3 linked regions of the Stegostoma tigrinum genome follow. The protein of the gene in region 2 purifies or fractionates together with the protein of the main gene of each other region. This does not show direct contact. Links are inferred from orthologs where the notes say so. Each region holds a gene or a part of one and is shown on either strand. Other genes may lie near its edges. The genes, in order: hspbp1, hsf1 and bag3.

What was found.
Region 1: the proteins of hsf1 (region 2) and hspbp1 purify together in Homo sapiens (affinity purification with mass spectrometry; 5 studies listed by BioGRID and IntAct, counting the BioPlex papers as one, with this or other methods). This does not show direct contact. The link is inferred for Stegostoma tigrinum from reciprocal best matches to the Homo sapiens genes HSF1 and HSPBP1.
Region 3: the proteins of hsf1 (region 2) and bag3 purify together in Homo sapiens (affinity purification with mass spectrometry; 3 studies listed by BioGRID and IntAct, with this or other methods). This does not show direct contact. The link is inferred for Stegostoma tigrinum from reciprocal best matches to the Homo sapiens genes HSF1 and BAG3.

What each region holds. Positions count from the first base shown.
Region 1 is NC_081391.1:14,490,463-14,501,231, reverse strand, and holds the start of hspbp1 (hsp70-binding protein 1), read right to left. Parts: upstream 4,394-10,769; 5' UTR 4,237-4,393; intron 84-4,236; 5' UTR 67-83; coding exon 1-66. UniProt on the Homo sapiens protein: Inhibits HSPA1A chaperone activity by changing the conformation of the ATP-binding domain of HSPA1A and interfering with ATP binding. Interferes with ubiquitination mediated by STUB1 and inhibits chaperone-assisted degradation of immature CFTR.
Region 2 is NC_081355.1:158,992,502-159,002,524, reverse strand, and holds the start of hsf1 (heat shock factor protein 1), read right to left. Parts: upstream 4,246-10,023; 5' UTR 3,974-4,245; coding exon 3,878-3,973; intron 1-3,877. Other genes in the region: ribosome biogenesis protein bop1, read left to right, coding at 4,590-4,682. UniProt on the Homo sapiens protein: Functions as a stress-inducible and DNA-binding transcription factor that plays a central role in the transcriptional activation of the heat shock response (HSR), leading to the expression of a large class of molecular chaperones, heat shock proteins (HSPs), that protect cells from cellular insult damage.
Region 3 is NC_081373.1:25,966,754-25,976,956, forward strand, and holds the start of bag3 (BAG family molecular chaperone regulator 3), read left to right. Parts: upstream 1-5,335; 5' UTR 5,336-5,657; coding exon 5,658-5,840; intron 5,841-10,203. UniProt on the Homo sapiens protein: Co-chaperone and adapter protein that connects different classes of molecular chaperones including heat shock proteins 70 (HSP70s), e.g. HSPA1A/HSP70 or HSPA8/HSC70, and small heat shock proteins (sHSPs), e.g. HSPB8.

The sequences.
Region 1 (10,769 bases), on a different chromosome or scaffold from region 2:
AAGCCTCAGCAGCCCCTGCAGATTGCTGGGACGTTGCCTGTTTCTCTCCGATCCACCGTCTGCCATTACTAAGAAGCTTCAGTCTGGAAGAAAGGAAAACCAAACAACAACCTTTTAAAGCAAAATAGTACTCAAGTAAATGGGTAAGGCAGACCGAAGTTTGGATTTTGTTTACTTACCCTATTATCTGATTTTGCTTTGCATTCAATTAATCTCCCCTGCCTTCCTTCTGACCCTAGACCTTGTCTTTGGTTCGTTTTCTCTCCTCCAGCCCACTTTTTCTGCCTGTGCTTACCAAAACTGGTTATGCCTCTAATAAAAGTTCATTTGCTTGAACTCATAACTCGGCTTCTCTTTTCACAGATGCTGCCAGGCTGGCTGAGTATTTCCACCATTTTCTGATATTTTATCAAGGGTGCTAGAATTTGGAAATATTTCACTTGTTCTTTCATTCAAGCAGGGAATGTGAGGAAAACACCCCAATTCTTTCCACCACTCCGTTGAGACAGAAGGTACCAGTGTCATCGAAAAGGGGTTTATCCTCTTTATTCTTCACAAGACCTGGTGTTACTAGCAAGGCCAGCATTTATTACCATATCTAACTGCCCTTGAGTAAAAGAATTGCTTGGTTGTTTCAGAGCTAAGAGTCAGCAAAATAGGAAAACAGGATCAGGAGCAGGTGTGGGCTGTTTAGCCTTTTGATCCTGCTGCATATTTTAAATGACCATGGCTCACAAGGTTGTGGTCTCAATTCCACTTTCCTGTCTGCCCTGCATAATCCGCGACTTGCTTGTCCATCTAAAATTTAACTGACTTTGCTTTGAATAAATTCAAAGTCCCAGCCTATACGACCTCTAGGGGAAGGGAGTTCTACATTAATGGCGCTCAGAGAAAAATATTTCTCCTAATCTCAGTCTTAGAAGTGTTGTAGATTCGGGGTCACATCTCAGCCAGATCATGCAAGAGTTCTTTCCCGAAAGGATACTGTTGTACATGAATTGTCTCAGAATTGTTGACTACAGGGAGGCAAGAGCTGTACTGTCATGTGGACACAGTGACTGTAGATAGACCTCGCGGTCTCGTCTGATCTTATTCCTATGCCCAGATATGCAAACATTCAGGCTCACTTCACACGTGCAAGACAAAACACACAGCAGGTCAGTCAGTAAACATGAAGGAGAAAAGCTTTATATGTATCACCTGCATTTGCAACATCACAATCTCCTCATACAAAGAAGTGCCAGGTAATGATCATTAATAAGGAGTCTAACCATCTCCTATTCAATGGCACTCTCATTGCTGTATCCCATGTCGTCAACATTCATACTGCACACCAGTCAAGAGAGGGCAGGGTGATGTGGGGTATTAACCTCTGATCAGAGACTGAATTGGACCAGCCATTCAAATACTGTGGCCACAACAGCAACCCAGCAGCTAAAGATTCAAAGGTAAATAACGCATCTCTCAACTCCTCAAAATCTGTGCACCACCTGGAGTGTGACAGAATACTGTCCACTTTTTTTTGCTGTTGCAAGATGGCAAAGTAGGATGCTCGTCCACTCCACCTGCTCTTCTTTTCTCCTCCTAGTGCTTCTTTTCTTCTTTTTTTTTTGCTTTGACTCCTGGCGTCTGCAAGGAGCGACATTCCCCAGCCTGGCAAACTCCCAGCACTGGCGAGGTAACTTCCTCCTGTATGGGCCCCCTGGCATAGCATGGTGACCTCCTAACATAGGGACCTCGCCGCCTGGCACTGCAATGTTTCGAGCTCATGCAGCATAGCAAACTCCCAGCCTGGCACAGCAGTCTTGTCCTGTGGGGCCTCCTGCTGCGACTTCCCAATGCAGCGTGTCGCCAGCGCAGTGTGGAGCCAGAGCCCAGTGCATACTGGAAGCTAAGTGCCAGTGTGGTCTGCTGTACTGAACTCTTTTCAGTATTATCTAAAATCTTGGCACAGTTTTTTTGTTACAAGGTACTTTTGTATCTAAGTCAGTGCTGTAATTGGCAATGTATAAATTTTTCACTCTCCATGTTGAGTATATGTGACAGAAAGGTCTATTCTATTCTTTCAAACACAAATGCAATTCCAATTACACTTGAAAAGATCATCATCGACCAGATGGTGGTGCCCCATCCACTAGTGTAACCACTCACCTCCTACAAGATGATACAGCTACTCATTTTGGTACCTTCGGCATCACCCACCTAAACCACAATCCCCAGCACCTTGCATGACAAAGGCAGCTGAGGCAAAGGAGCACCACCACCTGCAAGCTCATTTTAAGCCACACACTGTCCTGACTTGGAATCATATCTGCATTCTTTCACTGTGGCTGGTTCAATATCCTGGAATTCCCTTCCCAATACCAAGTGGATTACAGCAATTTAAGGCAGCCGCTCACCAGCACGAACTCAAATGAAATTCAGAATGGGCAATAAGTGATGGCCTTGCCAGCAACACACACATCCTACAAAATATTTTTTTAAAAAATACTATGTGCCTACATTTTGTTTCCACATTTTGACATACGCATAGAATCCTGGCAGTTAAAAATGCATCTTCAAGAGGCAAGACATAACTCAGGGCTACCCAAGCTACAGAAAACATCAAATAAAGATTTGCTCTAATGGAGGAATTGAAATGATTTTAGTAGCTTTTTGGGCCATACGCCTAAGCTAAACAAACTATCAAAGATAATCAAGGAAAATTTTGATGAAAGAGTACAAAATTATAACAAGTAAGGTGGAAAAAGAGGAGCTGTTCTCATCAGCTGATTTTATAAAGATGAAGGGGCACCAATTAAAGGTTTCAGGTAAGCGATGCAAAGTAAATTTGAGAAATAAACTATTTTTTCTGTTTTGAGGGGTAATGATGTGGAACTCACTGCCTATGAGATTGGTGGAAGCACAGACCGTGATTTCACAAGGAAATTTGGCCCACAAGGCAAAAAATACACAACCACTGAGCTTTGTCCCTGTTTTCCCCCAAAGACAGCTGCTCTCTATCGATCCTAATTATTTTTAACATCTTAAACACTTTAAAACAGAACATCCTTCAATTTTAAATGCAAGGCCCCTGTTTCTCAGAATTTGTTCTATTGGTTCTTCCCAGTTCAGTTCCAATTATTCATTCAACATTGAACCTGCCTCTCTGAATCCCTTGTACAAATTCATCATGAGTTTCATCTGTTTTGCCTGGGTCTTTAGCATCTCAAGGGTAGAACCCAACCAGAATATTAGGGTAAAAAAACTATTTCGATTTCAGAAAAAAAGTCATCTGTTCAGACCAACCGCAAACAATTGTTATATAATTTCAAATCAACCTGTTCAGAGATGTTATTACACACTTCTAAAGCAAACGAGTGTTGAACCATGCCTCCTGGTCCACAGGGACACTACGACTATCGCACAAGTGTACATTTCTCAGCCACTTGCTATACACAGCCACTAGGAATGGGACAGCTGCCTAAGAAAGAAAAGTAGCCTCTCAAACCTGCACTGCCATTCAGCAAGATTGTGGATGATATGCCTGTGAGCACAAGGTCCCTTTTCCCGACTTCAGTTTATAGCCTAAAAGCTACAAAAAGCTGTAAAATATATCCCTCCGTGGGGATAAGGAGGAAAATGCTCTTGAAGCCCAGGATCAACTCCCACTCCTCCAGAGGGGTTATATCATGTCTGAACAGATTAAGAATACCTCTCCGTCCTTAGGAAAGACGACTGCCTTATGGACCACCCGTGTTCACATTACATGTATGGCCTCAACAAGGCTTCCAAATGTTACATATCACCCTCCTTGCCAAAACGAAACCCATTCGGATTCAATAAGAACGATCCTCAATGCAGAGACAGCAACGTGCTGCTTTGATGCTCCTGATCAACGAGGTCAGTGTGGAGACGCACTGTGCCTGAAATAACGGACTGCGGACGCTGAGAGCCCGAAACTGGAAAAGCTCAGCAGGGCTGGTGTCATCTGTGGGGAAAGAGACGGAGTTGAGGTTTCGGTCAGAAACCATCCCCAGGGAAAGGGGGGAGGGGTTCGCCGCAGAAATGGCGCTCTGCTCCGCTCCAAAAACCAGGCCCATACTGAGAGGAATCGTTTCCTCACCCACCGTCCCCCCCAAGTCAACAAGACGCCTCGAAATGGTCGCACACCCCACATCCTGCTCTCCCTTAAACCTCCACAGGCTCCCAATCCCGTTTCAATGCACTGTTACCGGACAGGGAGAGGTCACTTACCCCGATCTCCACGACCTCTTGGCCCGGTCACCTTCCCGGCCGTGCAGCCACCTCCTGCCGCTGCCGACCGCACCGAAGCTTCTCCACCTTTCCAGATTCTTCCAGCGCATTCAGCCCATGGGCGCCACCATCTTGCCGGACGTTGCGCCACGGTTGCCTTGTGGCGTCAGGGTGCCGGACGTGACGCCACTGCGGGGCAACTGGCTGCGTGTGTTGCCATCTGAGCGCCGCCATCTTTGAAACCCACCAGCCCCCTCAGGCCTTTATCTCACTGAAGCCAGAGGCAGGGAGGTTCAATGAAACTAAAACGTAAAGCCTTGTTTTCTGTCCACAAATGGTGCCAGAAATGGTGTTTCTTCAACAGTTTCTGTTTTTGTTTCAAATCATCAGTTATTTTTATTATAAACAATAGGGAGACACTGGACTTTGATGCTCCAAATTACAAAGCAATGGAGTTTTTAACAACTCAAATAAAGGCCATGAACTCATCATATCTACCTATTCTAATCCTATTTTGCTGCACTTAGCCTGTGTGCTCATCTAAATATTTTACTTTCTCGCCATACAAACAAAGTTGATAACTGATATTATGAGAAGAGATTGTGTTGGGACTGTACCTATTGGACTTCAGAACAATGACAAAAACCTTAATGAAAAACATAAGATTCTGAGGTGATTTGACAGGGTATGTGTTGAGAGGTTGTTTCCCCTTGTGTGACAGTCAGGACCAAAGGCAAGAGTAAGAGATCTTCCATTGAATACAGAGATGAGGAATTTCTTCTGTCAGACAGTATTTTAATTCCCGCAGAGGACTGTTGATGTTGGGTTGGTATGTTCAAAGCTGAGGGGGCAGAAGGGGAATCAAGGGTTACGAAATAGGGCAGGAAAGTAGACTTGAGGATTATCAGATCAATTACAATCTTATTGAATGGTGCAACAGAGAAGAAGCAAATGTTCTGCTTCTGGTGCTATGTGTCATGATCTTTGCCAAGTAATTAAACCTTTTTTTTGCTTATTCATTAACAGTGTGTGGGTGTTGCTGGCCAAACCAGCATTTATTGCCCATCTGTAAATAGTCATAAAAGAGATATGATGAATTGTTTTCTGGAAACTCTGCAATCTGTGTGGAGAAGGCATGTTATAGCATGGTGGAGGAGGTGAAGAGGAAGAAGCTTAGGGAACGGAGGTCAAATTACTGATATGGCCAGGAAATTGGCTGAGTGGCAGGTGACAAAATGTAGAGGTTATGCGTAGACACTCAATTTGACAGCATTTAACCAGTGATGTCCCAGAAGGACCTATGTTTAGGCCTCGATTATTTACATTATTTATTAATGACTTAAACAATAGCATTGAAAGTCATATCCAAATTTGATGATGACACAAACTAGGTGGCATTGTGGACAGCATAGACAACAGCATTAAATTACAAAGGAATATTGATAAACTGTGGCGGATGGAGTTCATTATAAGAGTAGGGTTATCCATTTTTGACCAAAAAGGGATAGAAACGTAGAATCCCCACTGTGCAGAAAATCAAGTCCATTTCAGCCCATCAAATCTGCACCAACCCTCCAAACAATATTCCAGCCAGAACACCCCCCCCCACCCCATAATCCCAAATTTAGCATGGCTAACCCATCTAGCCTACACATTCCCAGACACTATGCAGATAGTGTTCCACTAAGAGCTTGAACAGCTCATCAACTTTGCTAACACCTTCCAGCCAACCTCAAATTCACTTAAACCATCTCTGTTACCTCCATCCGCTTCCTGGACCTCTCCATTTCCACCTCTGGTAACCGCCTCAACACTGACATCTATTTCAAACCCATCAACTCCATAGCTACCAGGACTGCACCTCCTCTCACCAACCCCTTCCCCCCCGCAATATTGCGATCCCATACTCCCAATTCCTCCGTCTCTGCCGCATCTGCTCTCAAGATGCGACGTTCCTCTCCTGGACATCTCAGATGTCCTTCTACTTCAAGGACAGCAACTTGCCCTTTCCAGTGATCAAAAATGCCCTCAACCACATCTCTTGCCATTCCCACACTTCTGCCCTCAAACCCCCTCCTCCCAACAAAATAAAGACAGCATCCTTCTGTTCCTCACACATCACCCCACCAACCTTTGCATGCAAAGCATCATTCCCCACAACTTCTGCCACCTACAATTCGATTCCAAGACCAAAGAGATATTTCCCTCCCCATATCTTGTGCCCTTAGTAGAGACTGCTCATTCTGCAACTCCCTCATCCACTCCAAACTCCCCATTAGCCCCACCATCTTTCCCTGCTACTACAGGAAGTGCTACACCTGCCTCTAAACCTCCCCCCTCACCTCCATCCAAGACCCAAAGCAAACTTTTCATATCCAATAGGGGTTCACCTGTACATCCTCCAACTTGGTCTACTGTATCTGATGTTCCCGATGTAGCCTCCTCTACATCAGTGAGGCCAAGCGCAGACTCGAGGAGTACCTGCACTCTGTACGTGACAAATGATAAAACCTTCCAGTCATGAACCATTTTAAGTCCCCCTCCCACTCCCTCGATCACATGTCCATCCTGGGCCTCCTCCAATGTCACAATGACGCCACCCGGAAACTGGTGGAGCAGCACCTCATATTCCACATCAGAAGCCTACAGCCTAATGGCTTAGACATGGAATTCACCAGTTTTAAAATCTCCCCTACCCTGGCCTCATCCCATGTCCAACCCTCCCCTCTCATCCCCACCTCCATGGACCTGATACAACCTGCCCACCCATTCTCCCTACACTTCCCACCAACCAATCCCCACTACCCCCATCTGCATCCACCTATCACCACCCCACCTACCTTCCCCAGCCCTACCTATCCTCCCTCCTGCCTCCTTGACTTGACAATAACCTGTCCATCTTCTCTCCCATCTATCCACCCTACCCACCTCACTGACCAAACCCCACTACTCCCTACCTGCATTCACCTATCACCATCCCACCTACCTTTCCCCAGCCCCAACCCTCCTCCCTCTATGTATTTCCCAGCTTCCTTCCCACTCCCCAGTTCTGAAGAAGGGTCCACACCCAAAACATCAACTTTCCTGCTCTTCTGATGCTGCCTGACCTGCTGTTTTCCTCCAGCTCCATACTGTGTCGTCCTGGACACCACGAGCTATTTAGCACAGCCAATCCACCCTAACCTGCACATCTTTGGACTGTGAGAAGAAACTGGAGCACCCAGTGGAAACCCACGCAGACAAGGACAGAATACGCAAACTCCACACAGACAGTCACCTGAAGCTGGAATCAAACCAGGATCCCTGGTGCTGTGAGGTAGTGGTACTAACCATTGTATAGCCATGCCACCCATAGATGGATCAGGGTACTTTCTAGACTGTATGAAATTAACTACAGTGGATGTCCAAAGAGACCGGGGGGGGGGGGGGGGGGGGGTGCTCAGGTGCATATCTTGAACAGGTGCAGAAAATAATCAAAAAAGCAACAGGAATGCTGACATTTATGTCTGGAGTACAGGAGTTTGAGGATGCAGAATTTATGCTGAAGTCAAACCAAAGTCTGATTAGACCGCACTTGGAGTACTCTGAACAGATCTAGGCACCACATTGTAGGAAGGATATAATGGCCTTGGAGGGAGTGTAAGATTTACATGAATGATACCCGGACTTCAGGGTTTAAGCAACAAGGAGACGTTTTACAAATTAACTCTGTTTTGTCTAGAATTTAAACTGTTAAGGGGTGATCTAATCAAAATCTTCAAGATACCCACAGGAAAAGACAGGGTAGATAAAGATATGATGTTTACACAGGGTCAGGGCTTTAAAACTACGGTACATAAGCTGAGATGGCGGGTCAGACCACTCAGGAGAGATGTTAGGAAGCATTTCTATAGACCAAGGGGGAGGGATAAATGAAGGATAATCTCGTTGAATGATAGAACAGGCTTGAGGGGCCAAATGGCCTATTCCTGTGTTCCTAAGGTAATCGCACAGTTAAAGCTGCAAGAGCTCCAGCAAGACAGACGGGAACAGCGATAACGTTCCAAGTCAGGATGGTGAGTAGCTTGGAGGGGAACTTGTCAGTGATGGTACTCCCATGTGTCTGCTGCCTTTGCCCTTCTAGATGAGAGTGATTATGAACAGTTAATGAATAAATACTGCTTAAAAGTTACAGGAGTACCTGGATCAACTACCCTTTCACACAGTGAGTTCCAGACTCTCTCGAGCTTCAGAGCGAAAATAATTCTCAACTGTCCGCTTTCCTCAAAACTGCTATGAGCTAGCATCATCAGCACAGTGGCTGTGATTAACACTGCTGCCACACAGCACCAGAGACCTGCGTTCAATTCCAGCCTCTGTGCAAACTCCACACAGACAGTTGCCTTTCTCCCTGTGTCTATATGGATTTCTACCATTTGCTCTGGTTTCCTCCCACAGTCCAAAGATGTGCAGGTTAGGTGGATTGGCCATGCTAAATTGCCCCATAGTGTCCAGGGATGTGTGGATTAGGCAGTCTAGCCATGAGAAATGTAGGGTTACAGGGTAGCTGAGTTGGTGTAGATGTGTAGGGCCAATTGCCCTGTTTCCACACTGTATGGGTTCTATGATCATCACAGAATTAATGTTTTGAGAAGGGAGAAACAGCCAGTGGAAAAGGAACAATCAGGGGAAGATTTTGAGTATATGAGATTAGCTATCACTGTGGGAGTGATAACGGTTGTAGAGAAGATCCAGAGTAGGTTTTTAATGATAGGATATATGTGACTGCTGCTGAAAAAAGCAAAACCAAGAAAACCAGAGAATGGCAGGGGTGGGGAACAGTCACTGTCTGAATCCAATGTTGCATCCTGAAGGCTGTAAGATGTGTAAACAGAAAGTGACATGCTGTTGCTGCAGCTTATATTGGGGAGCTCTGCAGTAGCCCCGGGACATATATATGTATAATATATATATTAAAGACCAAGTTTATTGAAACGGGAAATGGCCAGAAGGTCAAGGTCATGCTTGCAGACCAAGCAGTGGTTTTCTGCTAGGCTGTTGTGCCGTCTGTGTTGCCTCTTTACAATATTGAAGGGGCCACATGATGATTGGTGAATACAGTAAACTAGAAGTGCAAGCTAAAGACCGCCTCATCTGGAAGTTGTGGTTGGAGTCTTGGATTGCGAAGAAAATTTTACACGTCCCCATAATTGCATGAGGTATCGTGAGAAGGAAATGAGGTATTGGGAATAATGGACCAGGATACCAGGGTGGGAGAAACTTCTTCAGATGCTGAGTGGGGAGCGGGGAGGAAGATGAGTTTAGTGGTAGAAATGGTGAAGAATGATCTTTTTGAATGCAAAGGTTGGTGCGAACAAAGTTGAATGGACAAGAGAAACCTTACTCCCACTTCTGAGAAGGAGAGTAAGGGGTGAGGGTAAAAATGCAGTAAGTGCAGTGAACATTGTTGAGGGACCTGTCCACCAGAGTTTGGGGGGGGGGGTGTGAAAGAGAGGGCAATGGAGGAATCCTTGGCTGAGGAAAAACGAGTACATATTGGAAGCACTATTGTGGGAGGTGACATCATTGGCACAGATGCGATGGAGAAACTAAAGCAGGGATGCTCACATGTAGCACTGTGAGAGGAGGTGTAGTGAATGCAATTGTTGGAGTTGGGAACTTATAATAAATACGAGCAGACAACCTTTCCTGGCAAATGGAGATAACAGAAATTAGGGAAAAATAAGAGATGGACCGCATAAAGGTGAGAAAGATAGAAATTGGAAGCAGAATGCATTTTATTTTTCCTGTTTCAGATGAGACCACGAAGCATTGACCATCAACTATAGTGGGGAGAATTGTGGAAGGGAGACCCCTTCAAAAAGACAGGTAGAACCAGGGCCTGTGTGGGTATCCATGTTTACACCTTTCATTTGGAGGCAATTTTGATTTCCGTCTTCTGCAGTATCTTGCTTTTGGTTTAGCATTAAGTACAGTTTGCAGAAAAATGTCTGCGTACTTTGAAGTCAGAAATGTTTCCTAATTTCACCGCAAAACATCCAGCTTGAATTTTTAGATCCTAGCCCAACCAACAGAAAGTTTGTCTATTCTTTTGTATCCATTTATATCAATGAGATGTGAACTCCTGCTCAACTTTCTCTTCCTCGCCACACTCCTTACCCCTCCTCCCGCAAGCTCTATCATGTCATGCTCTCTTGCAATCCAAGATGAAGCAAAGACTGACATTTGGCTTGGACATTACTGCCCCCTGGTCAGTTAACTAACCGAGGATGGAGTTTTTATCCCACCACCACCCCCGAGTAGCAGCTTTGCTGGTGAGAAAAAAATGACCACTTCTCCCAAACAAGTGACTGCATGGAATTTAATGCACTGAAACAGGGCGGCTCAGGAAAGTTGGCATGTCCATAAGGAACCTCACCAACTTCTACAGATGCACCACTGAAAACACCGTCTGGGTGCAAAATGGCCTGGCGTAACAACTGCACTGCCTGTTACCGCAGGAATCTACAGAAGGTGGTGTGCACAGCCCAGAC
Region 2 (10,023 bases):
TTAAAAAAAAGCTGCATTCAGAGTTTCTTCAACAATTTCTGCTTGTCTATGCTTATTTAACAACTGTATTTATAGAACCAAAGGAGGTAGTGCCATGAAATGTAGCGTGTTCACTTTTGCTGCACCGTAATTGTGGTCCAAAACATAAGCCCAAGCACAGTGTCCAAAGAAAGCTTTTGATTTAGGTTCTCTACTGGCCAACATTCCTTTCTTCTCTCTCCATAGCCCTGGCGTATTTTAACATGGTTCTTTGCACTTGTTTTCTTCACCTCAACAGTGCAGTTAACAGAACTAAACCATGTAAAGAGCTTGTAATCACTACGAGCTTCATCTTGCGTTCCTAAAATTCCAAGCTTTCTGTTGCTGTGAGATCTCAATGCCCTGTTTCACCACTGCAGTTAGTCAGATTGATTGCAACAGAAATCTGCTTTAATATCAAGCTGCAATTCTCAAAGCCTGTGCTAAACTCCCAACTTCAAATCATTTACTTTGAAAGCTCCAACAGGTGCCAACTCCCTTTTTTGTTTGCAAAATTCAGACTGAATGGGTGGGTGTGACTCGCAACAGTATCAACATCAGCAAAAAAAACAGAACCAGTTTGGATATAGAACTAGCCTGAAGGTAGACGAAACACAGTCATGGTGAATGGTTGCATTTTCAGACTGGAGGCCTGTGACTTGCAGTATGCCACAAGGATTGGTGCTAGGTCCACTGCTTTTCATCATTTTTATAAATGATTTGGATGTGAATATAGGAGTAAGTTTGAAGATAACACCAAAATTGGAGGTGTAATGGACAGCAAAGAAGGTTACCTCAAGAGTACAATAGGATCAGATGGGCCAATGGGCCGAGGAGTGGCAGATGGAGTTTAATTCAGATAGGTGTGAAGGCAGGACTTATACATTTAATGATAAAGTCCTGGGGAGTGTTGCTGAACAAAGAGACCTTGGAGTGCAGGTTCATAGTTCCTTGAAAGTGGAGTTGCAGATAGGTAGGATAGTGAAGGTGGTGTTTGGTGTACTTGCCTTTTTGGTCAGTGCATTGAGTGTAAGAGTTGGGAGATCATGTTGCCTCTGTACAGAATATTGGTTAGGCCACTTTTGGAATACTGTATGCAAATCTGGACTCCCTGCTATGGGAAGTATGTTGTGAAACTAGGAAGGGCTCAGAAAAGATTTACAAAGATGTTGCCAGGTTGGAGGGTTTGAGTTAGAGGGAGAGGCTGAATAGACTGGGACTATATTTCCTGGAGAATTGGAGGCTGAGGGGTGACCTAACAGAGGTTATAAAATCATGAGGGGGGGATGGAAGGGCTAAGTAGATAAAGTCTTTTCCCTTGAGTGGGAGAGTCCAAAACTAGCTTTAAGGTGAGAGTGGAAAGATTTCAAAGGAACCCAAGGGGCAACTTTTTCATGCAGAAGGTGGGGCTTGTACGGAATGAGCTTCCAGAGGAAGTGGTGGAGAGTGGCACAATTACAACATTTAAAAAGACATCTGGATTGGTGTATGATTAGGAAGGGTTTAGAGTGAAATAGGCCAAATGAGACTGAATGTATTCGGGATATCTGGATGGCATGGATGAGTTGGACCAATGGGTCTGTTTCTGTGTTGCACATCTCTATGGCTATGACAAAAAAAGTGACACCAACAGCCAGGTATCCTGCTAAATGTCTACCTTACTGACGCAGGTGTACATTATTCTTCAATATTACCTTTAGAAGGTTGGATTAGTTCACAATACACATACACAAAAAAGAAAGTCAAGTTGCACTGGCTTGTCAACCTCCTTCGACTCCGCAGTAGTCATTTACCACGCTAGGATTACCAATTCTCTGGGAATGTTATAAATTGTAAACACCCTGCCTTGATGCTAATGACCTAGTTTGGAAATAGCGAGTCAATTCAGGCAGAAAGTCAACCCGCATCTAATTGCTTTTTGTCATTTGTTGATTCCAAGGAGAGTTGCTGGCAAAGTCAACATTTTTGACCTTTGTCAGTGACCCTTCAGAAGTGGCACAGTGTTGCTTTCTTGACTCAATGAAGCCCTTGAGGACCAGGTACATCCACAACACTTAAGAAAGGAGTTCCAAAATTTGGACTCAGTGAAGGAAAAGTGTTTGGGAAGGGAACTGGCAAGTTCTTATTTATCTGCTGCCCTTGTCCTTTGAGGTGGTGGAGATCATGGGTCTGGAAGGTACTTCCAAGGAGGCTTAATGAGTTGCTGCACTGCATCTGGTAGATCATACATACTGCTATTACTGAGTGGTGATGGTGGGAGTAGACATTTGAGAATGTAGCGTCAATCAAGCAGGCTGCTTTGCCCTGGACAGTATTATGTTTGAGTGTTGTCAGAGCTGCACACGTGCAGGGATGTGGAGAGTACTCCATCACACTCCTGACTTGCACCTTCTGGATGGGTGACTGGCTTTAGGAAATCAATGTCCATCAGGAATTGCAAGGTCATCAGGCTTTTACATAAATCATTCCATGGGCGTCACTGGAAACGGCAGTATTGATTCCCTTGAAAATGTTGTGAGCATCTTTTTGCAGCAAAGTCCAGCATTATTTTGTGATGGAAAAGCATCTGTGTGCCAAATATGTGGGCTCCAAGGGTAAACAGATCTTTGAAAAAACACAGAACTGCAGATGCTGGAGAATCTGAGATAACAAGGTGTCGAGCCAGATGAACACAGCAGGCCAAACAGCAGAGGAGCAGGAAGGCTGACATTTCGGACCGAGACCTTTTTTCAGAAAAAAACAACCCTTCTGGGTAGGCATCTTTAGAAGAGGCTTTGCAGTGGGGTTAAAATTGTTTCAGAGATAGCAGGAACTGCAGATGCTGGAGGATCTGAGATAACAAGGTGTAGAGCTGGATGAAAACAGCAGGCCAAGCAGCATCAGAGCAGCAGGAAGGCTGATATTTTGGGCCTGGACCCTTCTTCAGAAAGAGGGTCTAAACTGAAAACGTCAGCCTTCCTGCTCCTCTGATGCTGCTTGGCCTGCTGTGTTCATTTTGAAAATGCACTGCTGCCTTAGAATCACAGAATCCCTATAGTGCAGAAAGTGGCCATTTAGTCTGCACCAACTCTGAATAGCATCCCACCCAGGCCCAACCCCACAACCCTATCCCTGTAATCCCACATGGGGTTTTTAACCAGGGAGTTTTAACCCACTTAAGCTGCACATCTTTGGACATAACAGGGCAACTTTTAGCATAGCCAATCCACCTGGCTTAAATATCTTTGGTCCGTGGGAGGAAACCAGAGCATCCATACAGACACGTGGAGAATGCACAAACTCCAGTCACTCAAGGGTGGAATCGAACCTGGGTCCTTGGCGCTGAGGCAATAATGCAAACTACAGTGCTATCTATCACTGCAATACACTGTCTGAATTTAACCTTTGATTATTTGCACGTTTATAGTTGCTTACACAAGTAGGAAACAAGGATGAGAACTGGAGTAGGCCATTCAACACAGTATCAGTGCAAAATTCAGAAAGGCCACTACCACTCAGCAGTGGATTCAGACATAATGAAGTGTGGTAAATAATATTTAAAGCATGGGAGTATAGTTTCAATAAGCCAACTCTTAAACAACGTAAACACAAACAACCTTGCCCACAAAACTGTCACTTTGACAAATAATGATGATCTAGCGTTTTTAAATATTACTTCAAACCACAAATCGACTTAATAAAGTAACTTGTCAGATAATACACTTTTTAATCTTAAGAAAGTGATACAGGGCGTTGGGATGTCATCCTTTTAGCAAGCTATTTAAGAGACTATGTTTATTTAAAGCCCACGCCCCCTTGTGCGTGTGTTTTCTTTGAACGAGGCCTTGCTCAAGGCTTCCTGGGCCTCTGATTTACTTACCGCACTCCAGCAGATCAGGTCATTGGTGTCGGGATCCTCGATTAAAGTCCATAGTTTGGTGAGGAATGCGGGCACATTGCTGCCGTGCGCGTCCATCCGGAGACGCGGCCGGGGCCGACCGTGCAGGCGGCGGACCTCAGGCCCCTAAGCCGAGGAGAAACTGGGGCAGGCACACAAGCCGCTGGCTGGCCTCAGTATTCAAGGACCCGGGCTTGGACCGCAAGGGAAAGGTGGTCTAATCCGCTCAGTGAGAGAAAGGGAACGAAGTGGGGCGGAGGAATCTCCTGAACAAAATGCGATCTCCAAAACGACACCTTATCCAGCAGCGGCACACTCCACAGCAACCGCCGCCATCTTCCTCACGCAGTCTTTCCGGGCCCCTCCCCCCCTCAAACCACCCATTACGCAAAACACGGCCTTCATTTACCTCACCGTTTGAAAAATTTCATTTTCCCCTCCTTGCCGCATCGAGAACAAACCCACTCACTTATCTGCTAGACCTTGTAAGGGCCGTTTTGTTTAAAAAAAGTGGAAAATCCATCTTTAACCTTTAACCTTCAGGCTAACGGGCCAATCACCGTTTCCATTCCCACACCCACCTCCACTCGCTACCCGCCTCCTCAACGTGAACGCTACGTCCGTCCAGTGTCCTCGTGACGTCATGCGTTGACTTAACCTCTGACCTTTCCCGCAGCGCGGCTCCTGCAGTAAGATGGCGGCTGAGAGCATGTCGGTGGCCGGGGACAGGAGGAGCAAAACTGCAGGGAATAAGCGGTCGCTTCCAGATCTCGATGAAACGGACCAGGTCTGTTTGACTGTTGTTTTTGCGGGTGTTTTAACTCGTGTTTTGGGTGCGTCAGTAATTTTCGCTTGAAGCGAGGCAACGAGGGCGGGCGGAAATGCTGTTCTCGAAACCTCCAACGTGGGTCTGGATGAAACCGTAGTTCCTATTCAGTTTTCAAATCACTCCTTTTTCTCTCTACTCTCCCTCCTATTATCTTCTTGTAAACCTATTCGATGACTTGCTGCTGCAGTCCACTTTACCACAAGGAGACTGTGCTCCTTAATGTCGTTCAAGATTTTGATCAAAGGATCATGCGTGTTCTCTCTGAACTCTGGTAATTTAAAAATTGCTTCCCGTGAAGGTGTACAACATGTGGCTTCTTACTGTGGGCTCCACTGCTTTTTGTCATCTCCTTTGGCTTGATAGCATTTGATGAAGGAACAATAATATTGCGTGATTCCAGAACCAGGCATCGCAGTTTAATTATTATCGGGTGCCTGTTTAGGACACATGGTCCCACATGGAAGGCTGGTCCAAAAGGTTATAGCTCTTGGGATTCAAGGCAAGTTAGCAAATTGGATCCAAAATTGGTTTACAAACAGGAAGCAAAGGGTGATGTTCGACGGCTTTTTGGTGATTGGAAGCCTGTGACCAGTGGTATACCATAGAGGGAGGTGCTGGGACCCTTGCTGTTTGTTATAGAACAAAGAAAATTACAGGACGGGAACAGCCCCTTCAGCCCTCCAAGCCTGCACTGATCCAGATCCTCTACCTAAACCTGTTGCCTATTTTCCAAGAATCTGTATCCCTCTGCTCCCTGCCCATTCATGTATCTATCTAAGTACATCTTAATGACACTATCGAGCCTGCCTCTACCACCTCCGCTGGCAACACGTTCCAGGCACCCATCACCTTCTGCGTAATGAACTTTCCACGCATATCTCCCTTAAACTTTTCTCCCCTCACCTTGAAATTGTGACCCCGAGTAATTGAGCCCCCAACTTTGGGGAAAAAAGGGTATAATTAGTAAGTTTGAAGATGACATAAAAACTGATGGTGTTAGTGAGGAGAATGGTCTCGGGCTATAGTCTAATATTGATTAACTGGTAAATTGGGCAGAGCAGTGGGAGATGGAATGAAATCCTGATAAGTGCAAAGTGATGTATTTTGGAAGGTCTAATATGGGAATGATATACACAATGTGTAGTCAGTCGCCAAGGGATTGCTGAGGAACTAAGGGACCTTTATATACACGTCCAGGTATCTCTGAAGGTGTCAATACGGGTAGACAGAGGTGAAGAAGGCACATGAAATGCTTGCCTTCATTAGTCGGGGCACAGAATATAGGAGCAAGGAAGTCTTGTTACAACTTTATGAACATTGATTGGGCCACAAATGGAATAGTGTTTACAGTTCTGGTCGTCACGTTGTTGGAACGACTGGATTGCACTGGTGAGGGTGCAGAGCAGTTTCCCTAAAATGTTGTCTGGAATATAGAGTCTCAATTATGAGGTGTGACAAGATAGGACTTTTTTTCCTTCCTTGTAAGAGAGGATGTGTTTAAGACCAGAGGCATAGCTTGATATGCAGAGAGAGTGGTTTAGAAGGAAAATTCTTTTATCCAGAAAGTGGTAGAAATATGGAATGTTCGTCTTCCCTGGACTGACCAACCCCTACCAACACTCGCCTTTACGCGCTCCATCCCTGCCTTCTTGACCTATCTGCCTCCTCTCCACCTATCTGCTCCTTTATCCATCTTTCATCCACCTCCCCCCCTCTCTATTTCAGAATCCCCTTCCCCTCCCCCATTTGTGAAGAAGGGTCCAGACCCGAAACGTCAGCCTTCCTGCTCCTCTGATACTGCTTGGCCTGCTGTGTTCATCCAGCTCTACACCTTGTTATCTCAGAAATGTGGGATGCACTGCCTGAAAGGTTGGTAGAGGCAGGTCCTCATGCAACATTTAAGAAGCATCTGGATTAATGCTTAAAATGCTGGGGCACAGTAAGCTACGGACCAAGTGCAAGTAAAGGGCATTAGTGTAGTTTGGTGTTTGTTGGCTGGCATGGACATGGTGGGCTGAAGGGCCATAGACGGCTTGTCCAAAAGACGTCTTAGACTGAAATGAGAAATCTATTCACCCAGAGTTATTTTCAGTGGAGTTTTTTTTTGTATGCGGAAAGTGGTTGGAGTTTTTTTTTAATGGAGTATGTCTTCTTTTTAAAATGTGAAAAAGTGAAAAGCTTTCACTTAAGATTGTGGAAAAACAGTTGTCTTGTGGAATATAAGATCAACATATAGTTAAAAACCAAAAGAACTGCGGATGCTGTAAATCAGGATCAAAAACAAAGTTGCTGGAAAAGCTCAGCAGGCCTGGCAGCATCTGTGAAGGAAAAAACAGAGTTAATGTCTCACGCCTGGTGACATTCTGAGGAAGGGTCACCGGACCCGAAAGATTAACTCTGTTTTCTCCTTCACAGATGCTGCCAGTCCTGCTGAGCTTTTCCAGCAACTTTGTTTTTGATCCTGATCAACATATAGTTCCCTACGAACAATGAATTTTGAAGTGGGGACCCTTTGCTCGAGCGTGAGTATCTCTTAAGATTATTGTAGAGGGAAAAAGGTTTGAACTCTTATTTCAAGGTTTATGGCGAGGCTTTGACCAGTACGATATAGTTGGTATTTTTGTTTCCTTTTTATTTGTGCATAATAAGCATTGTTGTTCTTTTCTAACAAGTACATTGGCTGCTTCTCATGAATATGTTCATAGAATGATTACTGCAGTGAACAAATTGCAGAAATAAAACTTAAGGCTTGTCAAACCAAGATTTATGAACCAGCCCAGTTCGTCCCCTCCCCCCACTGCACCACACAACCAGCCCAGCTCTTCCCCCCCCACCCACTGCATCCCAAAACCAGTCCAACCTGTCTCTGCCTCCCTAACCGGTTCTTCCTCTCACCCATCCCTTCCTCCCACCCCAAGCCGCACCCCCATCTACCTACTAACCTCATTCCCACCTCCTTGACCTGTCCGTCTTCCCTGGACTGACCTATCCCCTTCCCTACCTCCCCACCTATACTCTCTCCACCTATCTTCTTTACTCTCCATCTTCGGTCCGTCTCCCTCTCTCTCCCTATTTATTCCAGTTCCCTCTCCCCATCCCCCTCTCCGATGAAGGGTCTAGGCCCGAAACGTCAGCTTTTGTGCTCCTGAGATGCTGCTTGGCCTGCTGTGTTCATCCAGCCTCACATTTTATTATCTTGGAATTCTCCAGCATCTGTAGTTCCCATTATCACATTTATGCTGGGATTGTCTGGTATTGCCTTCAAATATGGTCATTGGATGTTGCAGGAAACCTTCATGACCTACCTTTCCCTATAAGAGTGGACTTGATGGGCCGAATAGCCTTACTTCCACTCCTATGTCTTATGGTCTTATAATCTATGTCGCTGAAGGATAAAGGCAGGGACATGTGATAGGCACAACACATGTGCTGCGTGGTAAGGTTGTATATGTTAGTACAACATCTCCTCAATCAAACATCTTGGAGATGTTTCAAGTGCAATATTGTTGCTTGAGAGAGGAGAAGTTACTCCAGTCCCACTACTCTGTAAGAGTATGAGAAATAGAAACAGGATTAGACCATTTGGCCGGTTAAGCCTACTGCAGATTAGGATCCTAGCTGATCCAAAATTCATCATATCCGTTTTTCTGCTCCTTCCCCGTAATCCTAGATTGCTCCGACTGATCAAAAATCTATTTTGGCCATGCATATAAACTAGGGCTCTCCCCTCATCAACTCTCAGTTGCAAGAATTTCCAAAGATCTTTAACTCTGAGTGAAGAGGTTCCTCCCCATCTCGGTGTTAAATTAGTGCTCCTTTATTCTGGGGTGATGCCCTCTGACCCTAAACGCTCCCAGGAGGGGAAACATTCTCCTAGTATTCACCCTGTAAGGCCCTTTAAGAATTCAATATGATTCAATGAGATTACTTCTCATTCTTCTGAACTCTAGTGAGTAGAGTCCCAACCTATTTAACCTTTGCACATAAGACAATCCCTCCATACTAGGGATTATCCTGGTGAACTTCATCTGAATTGTCTCTCATGAACATTTTTTTTCCTTTTGATTTATTCATTTGGTGGAATGTGGGCACGCTGGCTGGCCATCATTTATTGTCTGTCCTTTGAGAAGATGGTGGTGAGCTATTTTCTTGAGCCACTGCAGTTCTCCCACTGTGGGTTGACCCACAATTCCATCAGGGAGAGAATTCCACGACCCTTCTTTTTCAAATAAAGGGACCAAAACTACTCTGAGTACTCCAGAAGTGATCTCATCAGCATCTTGTACAATTGCAGTATGACTCCCCTACTCTAATATTTCAACAGCTTTGAAATAAGGGCCAACATTCCATTAGTCTTCGTGGTTATCTGCTGCACCTGTGTGCTAGCTGTCTGTTTTGTGCACAAATTCCCCCAAGTCCTGTTCTGTTGCAGATTTCCACAGTTGTTCTCCATCTAAATGATCTGCTCTTTTGTTCTCCACTCCAAACTGAACAACTTCACATTTTAAAAACTGAAAGAGCTGTAGATGCTGTAAATCAAGAACAAAATCAGAAATTGCTGGAAAAGCTCAGCAGGTCTGGCAGCATCTGTGAAGAGAAAATCAGAACCTTTATAGGGTGATCTTTATAGATTTTACGAAAGCATGGAGGGGTATAAATAAGGTGAACAGCAAAGTATTTCTCCCTAGGATGGGGAGTTTAAAACTAGGGACCATATTTTAAAGTGAAATAAAATGATTTAAAAGGTATCTGAGAGGCAGTCTTTTCACATAAAGGGTGGCTCGTGTGTGAAATGATTTGCCAGTGGAAATGTTAAATGCAGGTATAGTTACAGTTAAAGGCATTTGAACAGGTATTTGAAGCAGAGAGATGTGGGATAAGGGCCAATTGCTGGCAAGTCGGATAGTTTAGTTTGGGAAACTTGATCAGCATGGACAATTTGGACCAAAGGGTCAGTTTCCTTGGCTCAGTAGTTAGCACTGCTGCCTCCAGTGCTAGCGACCCAGGTTCAAATCTACCCTTTGGCAACTGTCTGTGTGGTGTTTGCACATTCTTCCCGTGTCTGCGTGGGTTTACTCCAGGTGCTCCGGTTTCCTCCCCTGGTCCAAAGGTGTTCAGGTTAGGTAGTTTGGCGATGCTAAATTGCCCGTGGTCTTGAGGGATGTGTAGATTGAGGTGGGTTATAGCGGAACGGCTCTGGGTGGGATGCTCTGAGGGTCGGTGTTGGCTTGTTGGGCTGAAGGGCCTGTTTCCACACTAGGGATTCTACGGTCTTCTACGTATCAGTGGTGCTGAGGTG
Region 3 (10,203 bases), on a different chromosome or scaffold from region 2:
CTTGAACACCTTAGGATCTGACTCTATTAAAAATTCCTGTCCATCCTCTCCCAACACCCTCACTTCTTTTTGACCTTCAAATTAAATAACAAGGATATATTGCAACAACTCTCTTCCTGATTCCAAAAATGCATAAATCGTTCTTCTTATCTTCACAATCCACACACTTGCCTTTACATTCCTCACCTCTCCATCCAGACTGCATATTTGCCTGGACTGCAGTTTTACCTATCCCCATTTTGTTTTTCAAAGGGCCACTTAGTAATTCCCACCCTCTCTTCCTGCAGCATAAGACAGCATATCAAGTGAAGTTAAGAAGCGAGATGAGAGGATAATTACTTGATATTGGGACCCTCATTCAAAAGGAACAGAAATTTTGCAAACTATTAGCCCAGCATAAAACGTGAGTGCTTTTGGGAAGGAGAGGGTTAACTGAGCAGTGTGTCTATTATTTATAATTCACTTCAACAGTCACATATTCAGCCAGCTTGACAACATCTGGATGCAGTTTAATGACTGTCAACCAAGAATATGCAACCAAGGTATTTGTTGTGCATTTTCTCTTTGATATGGGTCCTTCTTAGCACCTGTACATGATGCAAGAGAGGATGCAAATATTTACTTTAGAATGCACTTTAAGCAGTTCATTCCCAGTATAATTTAGATAAATATGAGATTGTTCAGTATGAAAGCTAAAACAAGAAGGCAGATTGTTACCTGAATGGTTGTAATTTGGGACAGGAGAGTGTGTAATGGGACCTGGATGGCCTTATGCACCAGTCACTGAAGGTAAGCATGCAGGTGCAGCAGGCGGAAAAGATGGGAAATGGTATTTCGGCCGTCATTGCGAGAGGTTTTGAGTACAGGAGCAGGGATGTGTTGTTGCAGTTATGCAGGCCCTTGCTGAGGCCATACCTAGAATATTGTGTGTAGTTTTGGTCTTCTTTTCTGAGGAAGGATGCTGTTCCTCTCGAAGGAGTGCAACAAAGATTTACTAGGCTGATTCTGGGGGTGGCAGGTCTGATGTATGAGTAGAGATTTGCTAGGTTGGGATTGTTTTCACTGGAGTTCAGGTGAATGAGGGGGTGATCTCATAGATGCTTATAAAATTCTGACAGAATTAGACAGGGTAGATGCAAGGAGGATGTTCCTGATGGTGGGTGTGTCTCAGGGGTCAATCTCTGAGGATTCGGGGGGGTTAGACCTTTTACACCATTTAGGATGAGGAGACGTTTCTTCACCCAAAGAGTGGTGAGCCTGTGGAAGTAATTGATGCCAAAACATTGAATGTATTTGAGGGGCAACTAGATATAGCACCTGGGGCAAATGGGATCAAAGGTTATGGGGAGAAAGCAGGATTAGGTTATTGAGTTGAATGATCAGCCACGGTCGTGATGAAAGGCGGTGCAGGCTTGAAGGGCCAAAGGGCTTCTTCCTGCCCCCATCTTCTACATTTCCATGTAACCAGCCCACTCCCCAGCACTCAGTCAAATGTAGGAGCTTATCTGTTAGCTAAGGGTTAATGGGTAAAATTGTAATCTCATGACGCCAAGCAGCAGTGACCACTATTCTAGTTTATCTGAACACTTTGTTAACTAAGGGCTAAAGAGTTGAAATTGTAATCTCATTAACCGCATCTTGTTTGTTCAGTTCTCTGTAAGTCTTATTACTATTTTGTGGCTATGTCACATGCCCATTGCCTGATCCAACTGCCAAACGGAACGATTTGCATCTATCCAGATTTGTATAAATACTGTGTGTGTATTATAACCCTTTCCTCTTCTCAGACTGACAGTTAGGGTATCAATACCTTGCTGTCAGTAGGAAAACCCGCCCTTGTACAAGTAGAAGATATTGTTTGTGAGTTCCAAAAATCTGTCTGTGTGGTCCTCAGAGAACCCAGTCATTTAATCTTTGACATAAAATTGGCAACGAGGGTGCGATGCCAATAGGCTGACAACATCTGCTAGTGAATGAAGTGAACTGTGTGGTCGTCAAAGAGCCCAGTCTTATTATCTTTGACACAAGCACCAGCTCAGAGATTGACACTACATGTGATCTAACCTGTCAGAGTGAGGACGTAAAACAAGTAACAAAATAACTTTGATGACACCCTGGTAAATAGTGACTGCCTAGTTCCAGCAGGTAACAGATCCTGTGGCAGGGGCATGAGGAAATCAGCAATATAGAAGAACTGCTAATCAGATATATCCAAGAAACCAATTTTCAGCCATTACACCCAGTATTCTCGGCGTGGGCTCCTATCAGCAGGCCCCCCTCATTTGCTGTTATCTAAGAGGATCACCTACTGCTCATGTGGTTGCTGCTCTTTTGTATCAGCTCATCCTCCATCCAAATGAAATGGTCCATAATGGAATCCATTTAAAGAAATTTGATCTTACTGGGGCATGGTGCGGGCTTGGGGATAACAGCAATGTCAGAAAGAAGATCGATGGAATTTGAAAATTTCCCTCCAATTTCTTATTTTCAGGGACTTGGAGAGACTGATTCTGGTGCCAAAATGATGTTGAAGTCCGACAAACATTATAGAAATGGACTCATATTTTAATGAGGCTCTCGCCTATCCTGACTCATTGGCTAAAATCTGTGGTTAAAATGGCAAGAATAGAGTGATCCTGCAGTGACAGTACTAATTTGCCGTCCCTGTTCATGCTTCACAGAGAGAACTAAAATTCTATAGGGTACATTAATGAATTAAATATGTTGCAGAACTGAAAAGAGGCTTACTTCAAATTTACATCAACATCCATATAAGCCTATAATTTGTGATTGTATGAAGCATGGCAATTGCTGTAGACCTTAAAGATGGTCTTGCTAAGGGATCTATCAGTCTCTGTGTTTGGACCTTTACCTCTCTGGGCAAGCAATTGGGTGGAATGTTGTGTAATGAGAATTTTCAGCAGGGAACTGCAGAGATGACATCAAGATGCTAAACTGCTCAATCACATTAAAGAATTTTCACAATCAGTAAACCAGGAAGTGGAACATTCTGGTAATCAATTCCCATTAATTAAAATCAGAAGGCAAATAATGATATGAGGTTAATGAAATGAAGATCAAATACAGACATGTAAAATTTAAAAATTGATCATAATGAAGAAATCAAACAACATTGTTATTTTCCCAGGGTGAGTTAGTTATTCAGAAGTAGCTACCATCCTGATTGCCAGTAAGTATCCTCAAAGAACAAGGTCGAATTTATTTTTTTTTCATTCTAATCACTCAGTCCTTTGGAGCAGGTAGATGTAAACCCAGGCCTCCTGAGTCAAAGGTTTGGCCACTACCATTGCATCACAACAGCCCTAAGATATACATAGTTTGGGGTTCATCACCAGCCTTTTTGGGGAAGAAAGGAGTCAATTCTTTTTACATCCATGGATTTCACTGATGCTTGATCTTGCGGTGGGTGAGGATCGAGGAGAAGCATCACGAACGATTCAGTACTTTTGTGTTAATCATCATTTGTACTAATTCCTGTTGGAATTCAGATGCAAAGATGGAAAATCAATGAACACGGATATCTTATCTTCAAAAACCCTTGATCTAACCCTAGACTGAAACCTAGCCTCAAAACATGACCTTAACATAACCCAACCCCATGCCTAACTCTGAGATAATGGGAACTGCAGATGCTGGAGATTCCAAGATAATAAAATGTGAGGCTGGATGAACACAGCAGGCGTCAGCTTTTGTGCTCCTGAGATGCTGCTTGGCCTGCTGTGTTCATCCAGCCTCACATTTTATTACCCATGCCTAACTCTGCTGCCTTTAATTTTGTATCATAGAATTTATCTTCAAGGCTAACAGCTAAGGTGCCCTTTCCTTTCTGCTTTCCTTGACTCTCTTAAAGAGGATCCTTATCAAAACAGTAATACGGTGACTGGTCACCACAATATACATGATTCTATCATCTAGTATAACAGAAGCAAAAACAGAAATAGCTGGAAAAGCTCAGCGGATCTGACCATAGAGAGAAATCAGAGTTAATGTTTCAGATCCAGTGACCCTTCCTCAGAACTGTGAGGAAAAAGTTGTTTTTTTATGCAGAAGATAGGGTGGGGGGAGGTGGTAGGGAGTAAATGATAGGTGGAGATAGAGCCCAAAGAGAGAAGAAGAATTGCACAGACAGAGGAGTGGATAACGGTCAGGCTAGGAAAATGAATACCAACTAATGGAGATTATTATTGGCTAACAATGGGTTGTGCAAAATTGCAGACTATGTGATAACAAGGTCTGGTCTGTGGGGATTGTCTAGGGGCATGGGAGAAGGTACTTCAAGCCCTAAAATTGTTGAACTCGATATTGTGTCTCGAAGGCTGTAGAGTTCCAGCAGGAAATGAGATGCTTTTCTTCCAGCTTGTGCTGAACTTCACTGCAGCACTGTAGCAAGCCTGAGACAGAGATGTTGGCCAGTGAATAAAACGGTGTGCTGAAGTAGCAGGCAACTGGAAGTTCAGGTAGCTGCTGTTTCCACCACCTCCAGTGGGATACCACCACCAAAGACATATTCCTCTCCCCTCCCGTGTTAGCTTTCTGCAAGGACTGTTCCATCCGGGACACTGTGGTCCACTCTTCCTTCACTCCCAACACTCCCCACTGCACCTTCCATACACTTGCCCATTTATTTCCTCCCTCCTCAGTATCCAAAGGCCCAGCCATATCTTCCAGGTGAAGCAGCACTTTACCTGCACTTCACACAATGTAGTCCACTGCATTTCCTGCTCACAATGTGATCTCCTCTGCAATGGGGAAATGGGTGATCACTTTGCAGAACATTTACCTTCTGTCTGCAAAAAAAATCCTGTGCTTTATCCACTTACTGTTTACTCCTTACCCATCTCCTCCACCCTATCCAGCATAAAAACCAACTTTTCTGAGCAACTATCAGTTCTGATGAAGGGTCATCTGACCCCAAAACGTTCACTCTGATTTCTCTCCACAGATGCTGCCAGACCTGCTGAGGTTTTTCAGCAATTTCTATTTTTGTTTCTGATTTCCAGCATCCGCAGTTCTTTCGGTTTTTATAAATCTGGTTTGACAGGTTCGGTCTTTTACATATTAATTAGGCAGCGAATTTAGCACCGCAGCCCGGCTGATGTGATTCAAATGATTGTTTTATTTTGGAAATGCACCTTATATGGCTATACCTCATTCAACCAAAATGAAACTCAACTTTCATGATTTATAATCCTTCGAAAAAGTTTATGCCACTTGCTAAAACTTTGACCATATTAGGGTATAGTGGGATCTGGAGCTGTCTCTTCAACCTAACAATATCTGATGAATTAATCAGGGGTGCCTGAGAATTGATCCGAGCTGGGAGAGACCGTTTCTGGTCAACATATTGAGGCGTCAAGCTGTTTGCCATTTGGAAAGGAGCAGGGGGAGGGAAGCTGAGGAGATTTTGCCAGTAACCCAACCCTGGGTTACTGCAGTTCGTGCACAGCAATGGGTTAGTAATGCGGCTTTATCATCTCGCCCAATCGTCTTCACAGGAGCAGAGAAGCAGCCAGAACATTCGAGCCTCCGATTGCTCACTGCTCCCAGATCAAATTCTAGAGACTTTCCAGTGCAGCCCTCTGCCTGCCCGTGTCACTCTATAAATATTCCAGGGGAAAGGGGAGAGCGGACTAACCATGGCTCAGTTCACCATGCCCGGCTTTACAATGAAGAATTCTCCGAATCAGGCGGCCAGCGGCGGCGATGCCCTGCCCCCGGGCTGGGAGATCAAGATTGACCCTCAGACCGGCTGGCCGTTCTTCGTCGATCACAACAACCGGACGACAACGTGGAGTGACCCGAGACTGGATCTGCCGAAGGTCAGTGCTGTCTGTCCGTCCCCCCCCCCCCCCCGGAGACGGTTTCCGAACACATTCTAACGAGGGGCTGTTTGTTTTTCTCTCTCTCTCTCTGTGTGTGTGTGTGTGTACATGTATGTAGGTGGGGGTAGGGGTGTGTACGTGTTTGACCCTGGAGGGTGTCTGGAGGGAGAGACTGTAGTGTTTTTACAAATGCAGATCAAGCCTTTCTGTCTGTGCAGGGGTGACAGGGGACACTCTCCTCCCCAGCTTCAGTCTTTTGTAACGAACAGCCCGATTAACAAAACAAAATCCCTCCCTGGAGTCGGGATTGTTTGCTGCAAAAAGGTAAATGCTCCATCAGACACCTTTACTCAATCCATGCTCCCCTCCCCCAATCCCCCCCCCCCCCGCTTTTTAATTTTTGTTTTTAAATGAGAGATAAAGCGAAACCAACATTGACAGCAATTTGGCCCCGAACAAAAATGGCATGTTGATGGTGTCAGTGATGAAGATTGGGTTTTGGGATGACGCACTGCAGTCCGATCTGATGAAACATCGCCTGGGTAACCTTTAACTTACGGCCTGGCCAAGGTTTCGAGGAAAGGGGCTACATGTGCAGCGTGATCTGTGCAAACCCTCCCCTCTTGCTGTGCTTCAGTTTCTCGGATCATTCACCCCTCCCCTCCCTCCTCCCAAACAAAATAGCAGGCCCTAAGTTGAAAATCCGAGCAAGATTTGGGTCTATCTGAGTTGATGTCGAACTCGCTCGGTGCCTGCCTGGGCTCAGGCAGGGCCTGGCAGCTGGGCACCTTGTTTAGCTGCCTGAGTCAGTTGTCAGGAGAAGGTTTGGAGACATGAGGGATCTGTGGAGCTGCACAGCTGTCAGCTGTTAAAAACGCTGGTGGTGACACCCAGCACAGCTCGGAGGCACGTAGTGAAGTTTCTACCATGTGAAGTAAGCTACCAGAAACTGCTTTCCTTTTTTTTCCAGTGCACATAGATTTGCTGCTCTTTCCGCATGTACTGCCGCCTTTAAATCCACCTGCAAAATCGGAGACATGAAGCAATGCGTTTCAAGGCAAAAATAACACTGAGCTAATTACAAAGAAAAATGAGGCAACAGATTTTAATTGATGCTGATCTGAAGATCATATGCTGATCCTGTCACACTTATGACCAGGATACATAGCTAGGAAATGTGCATTCCTTGTTTTAACATATATTGTAGCCTAAGAAAAATGGGCAAAGTTGTGAACAGTTGATGGAAGCTAAACAACTATGCTGTCCTAATCTTGTATAAACCAAGTTTTAAAATGAGGTTATTGTACCTAAATGAATTTATGATAACCTAAATGCCGAGACGTGCTTTTTAAAAAGCAAAATTCCAATATTTTGTCCCCTGAAGAATTTTATATTCCCTGGTAATAGGAGGAAGATGGTGCATTCAGAGTTATGAATGCTTTTGTGGCTACAGTAATCAAGCTCTACAGGCAAGGCTAGTTAAACAACCTGAGCTGGTCTGCCTCCTTTTTGCTGGAATCCACTGTATTGGCTCAGAAATGAACAAACTGATCAGCAGCAAGTTCTGGGCACAGGTGTACCTGAGCTCCAACTTTGAACTGATTAGGAGTCATGTGCTGAATCACTGAGCTGTGAGTTTGGAGAATGTTTAACTTCTGAAGCAGTTGAAGCACATATCTATTATTCTTGGCTGACTTTCATATATTGAACTAATCTGAAACTGACATTGAAGTTTGTGCACTTATCCATTTCCCATTTAGTCTCTAACTTCATTGGGAGTGTTAGCTCCAGTGTTGGAGCAACCCCTGTTTCTTTCTTCTCTTTTTTTTTTCCCTTTTCTTTAGTCTAATTCATCTTAAATGTTATAATTCACTTGGATTCACTTGTGGTAATGCTGCAAGTTAATAATCTAATTACTATTTGAGTGTAAACAATTCCAACCCGCTTCACAAATCTATTGAGTTCAAGCCTTTCGAAATTTAGGTGTAAGTGGCTGTTAGGCATCTTTACGGTCAACGATGCCAAGACATTAATGTGACCTACTGCAGGACAGTACAGGACGGAATCTCCCCTATGATTCCTAAATGACTGAGTCATTGCTCTCAGCTTGAAGGGACACTAAAAGGAGACATTTGCTGAGAGGAAGCGAAAATGGAATTGAGTGTACATAGATCACCCTTTTACTCTGGTTTCAACAACCAGCAGGGGTGACTGGGAGCTAGTTTGTCTACCAGTACTGTTGAGAGTGGTGAAAGCAACCCAAAAATATTAAAAGTAAATTTAGAATTAAAACTTCAACCTAGATAACAGCAGCATGTGTGCTAAATAGTGATGTCAACTTAAAAGTGTCCCAAAGTACTTTACAGATAAAGAGTTTTGTAGGTAAAATTATGAGGTCAGACCATAACTCTAGTTAGTGAGATGCGTTTTTTTTGGGACTTTTTAAAGTTGAAGAGAGATGGAAATATTTTGAAAAGGTGTTTTGCACAGCACGACAAGTAAGAAAAAGCTAACATTATTGTTAGTGGAGGGAAGCACACAAACTGAAATTCAGGGACTAGAGGGTGTTGGAAAGAACATTTAGTTTATCACAACTGCAGAAGTTAAGGTGGCATGGGTGCCAAAGGACCAGGGTTTGATCATTCAACTTATTTGTTGTTTCCATCACACTATACACTTAAAACATTGCAGATCAATAACTCGGCTCAATTTATCTGTCATTATTCTATATCTCTTGATATGTTTAACCAACAGATATCTATTGATCTGGATCATGAATATTTCATTTCAGCAACTAAGTATTTTCACATTTCTCTCTTAAATGGGCAAGTTTAAAATTTAAATGATGCTGATTTGTTGTGTATTCCTCCGATTAAAGGAAGTACTATTTTTAAAAATCATTTACGGGATGTGGGCATTGCTGGCTCGGCCAGCATTCCTTGCCTGTCCCTAATTGTCTAGAGGGCAGTTAAGAAACAACAACATTGTCCTGGGTCTGGAGATACATATTGGCCAGAACAAGTAAGAACGGCAGTTCCTCCCTAAGGGTCATTAATGAATCAGATGGCTTTTTCTCAACAATTGACGATGAATTCATGGTCATTGTTAGACTCTTAACTCTAGATTTTTTAAAAAAAATTCAAATTCTGTCAGTTGTCATGATTGGATTCAGACCTGGGTCCCCAGAACTTAATCTGAGTTTACTTTCTCTTATTCTAACTTAACAAAATGAATAATGATTTCAAACCCCTCAATTAGATTGCCATTAGCCATGTAAAATCAAGAGATACAAGCCAAGTTTATAAAACCTGGTTCCATAATTAACCCTCTAGAATTGGTATGAAAGTGAACTCTGCATTTGCTGGAAAGCGAATGATATACTCCAGTTGGGGTCTGACTAACTGAATGTCCTTCAGCTCATTAGTTTACGCAATATTAGCCCAGCTGAGTAAGCCTTTGAGAGATTTGTAGAGAAAGACAAAACTTGTAACATTATTGCATTGGACACAAGGAGACAATTGACTTTACTTAGGACTGTTTGACAAATTGGAATCAGAACTACCTCAGATTAATCAAAAAAGTTGTTTCCAGCATAATGTTACTTGTATTTTCACAATAATTTTACATGGGATGTGAGCATCAGTGGCAAGCATTTGCTGCACATCCAAATTTGAGAAGGTGGTGGTAAGCTGTCCTCTTAAAGCACTGCAGTTCCCCTGTCGGAGATGTACTTCAGTCCTGTCAGGAAGAGAGTTCTAGGATTTGACCCTGAAACAGTGAATGAGTGAGGATACTGTTAAGTCAAGACGATTCATATTTTGGATGGGAATTGCACTTGGTGACCTTCCAATGCATCTGCTATTCTTGTCATTCTCAGTGGTAGATAATGTGGGTTTGGAAGGTTCTAACACTGGAGAATTGGCGAGTTACTGCAGTGCACCTTGTAGATGTACACACTGCTGCCACTATGCACCTATTGTGAATGGTGCAAATGTTTAAGGTGGTGAATGGATTGCCAATCACAAGTTGCTTTGTCCTGAATCGATGAAGCTTCTGGAATGTTGTTAGAGATGCACTCATCCAGGCAAGTGGAGAGTATTACATCACACTCCCTTCCACTGCCTTGTAGATAGTGGACAGGTATTGAGAGTCAGCTGAATTGCATAATTTCTGAACTCTGACCTGCTTTTGAAGGCATGTTCTTTATATCATTGGTCCACTCCATTTTATTGCCCCCCAGGATATTGGTGGAGGATAGTTTAGTGATGACAATGCCACTAAATGTCATTGGGGAGATGATTTGCTTTTGTTGGAAATGATCTTTGCCTGACACTTCTACAGCATAAATGTTATTTCAGAT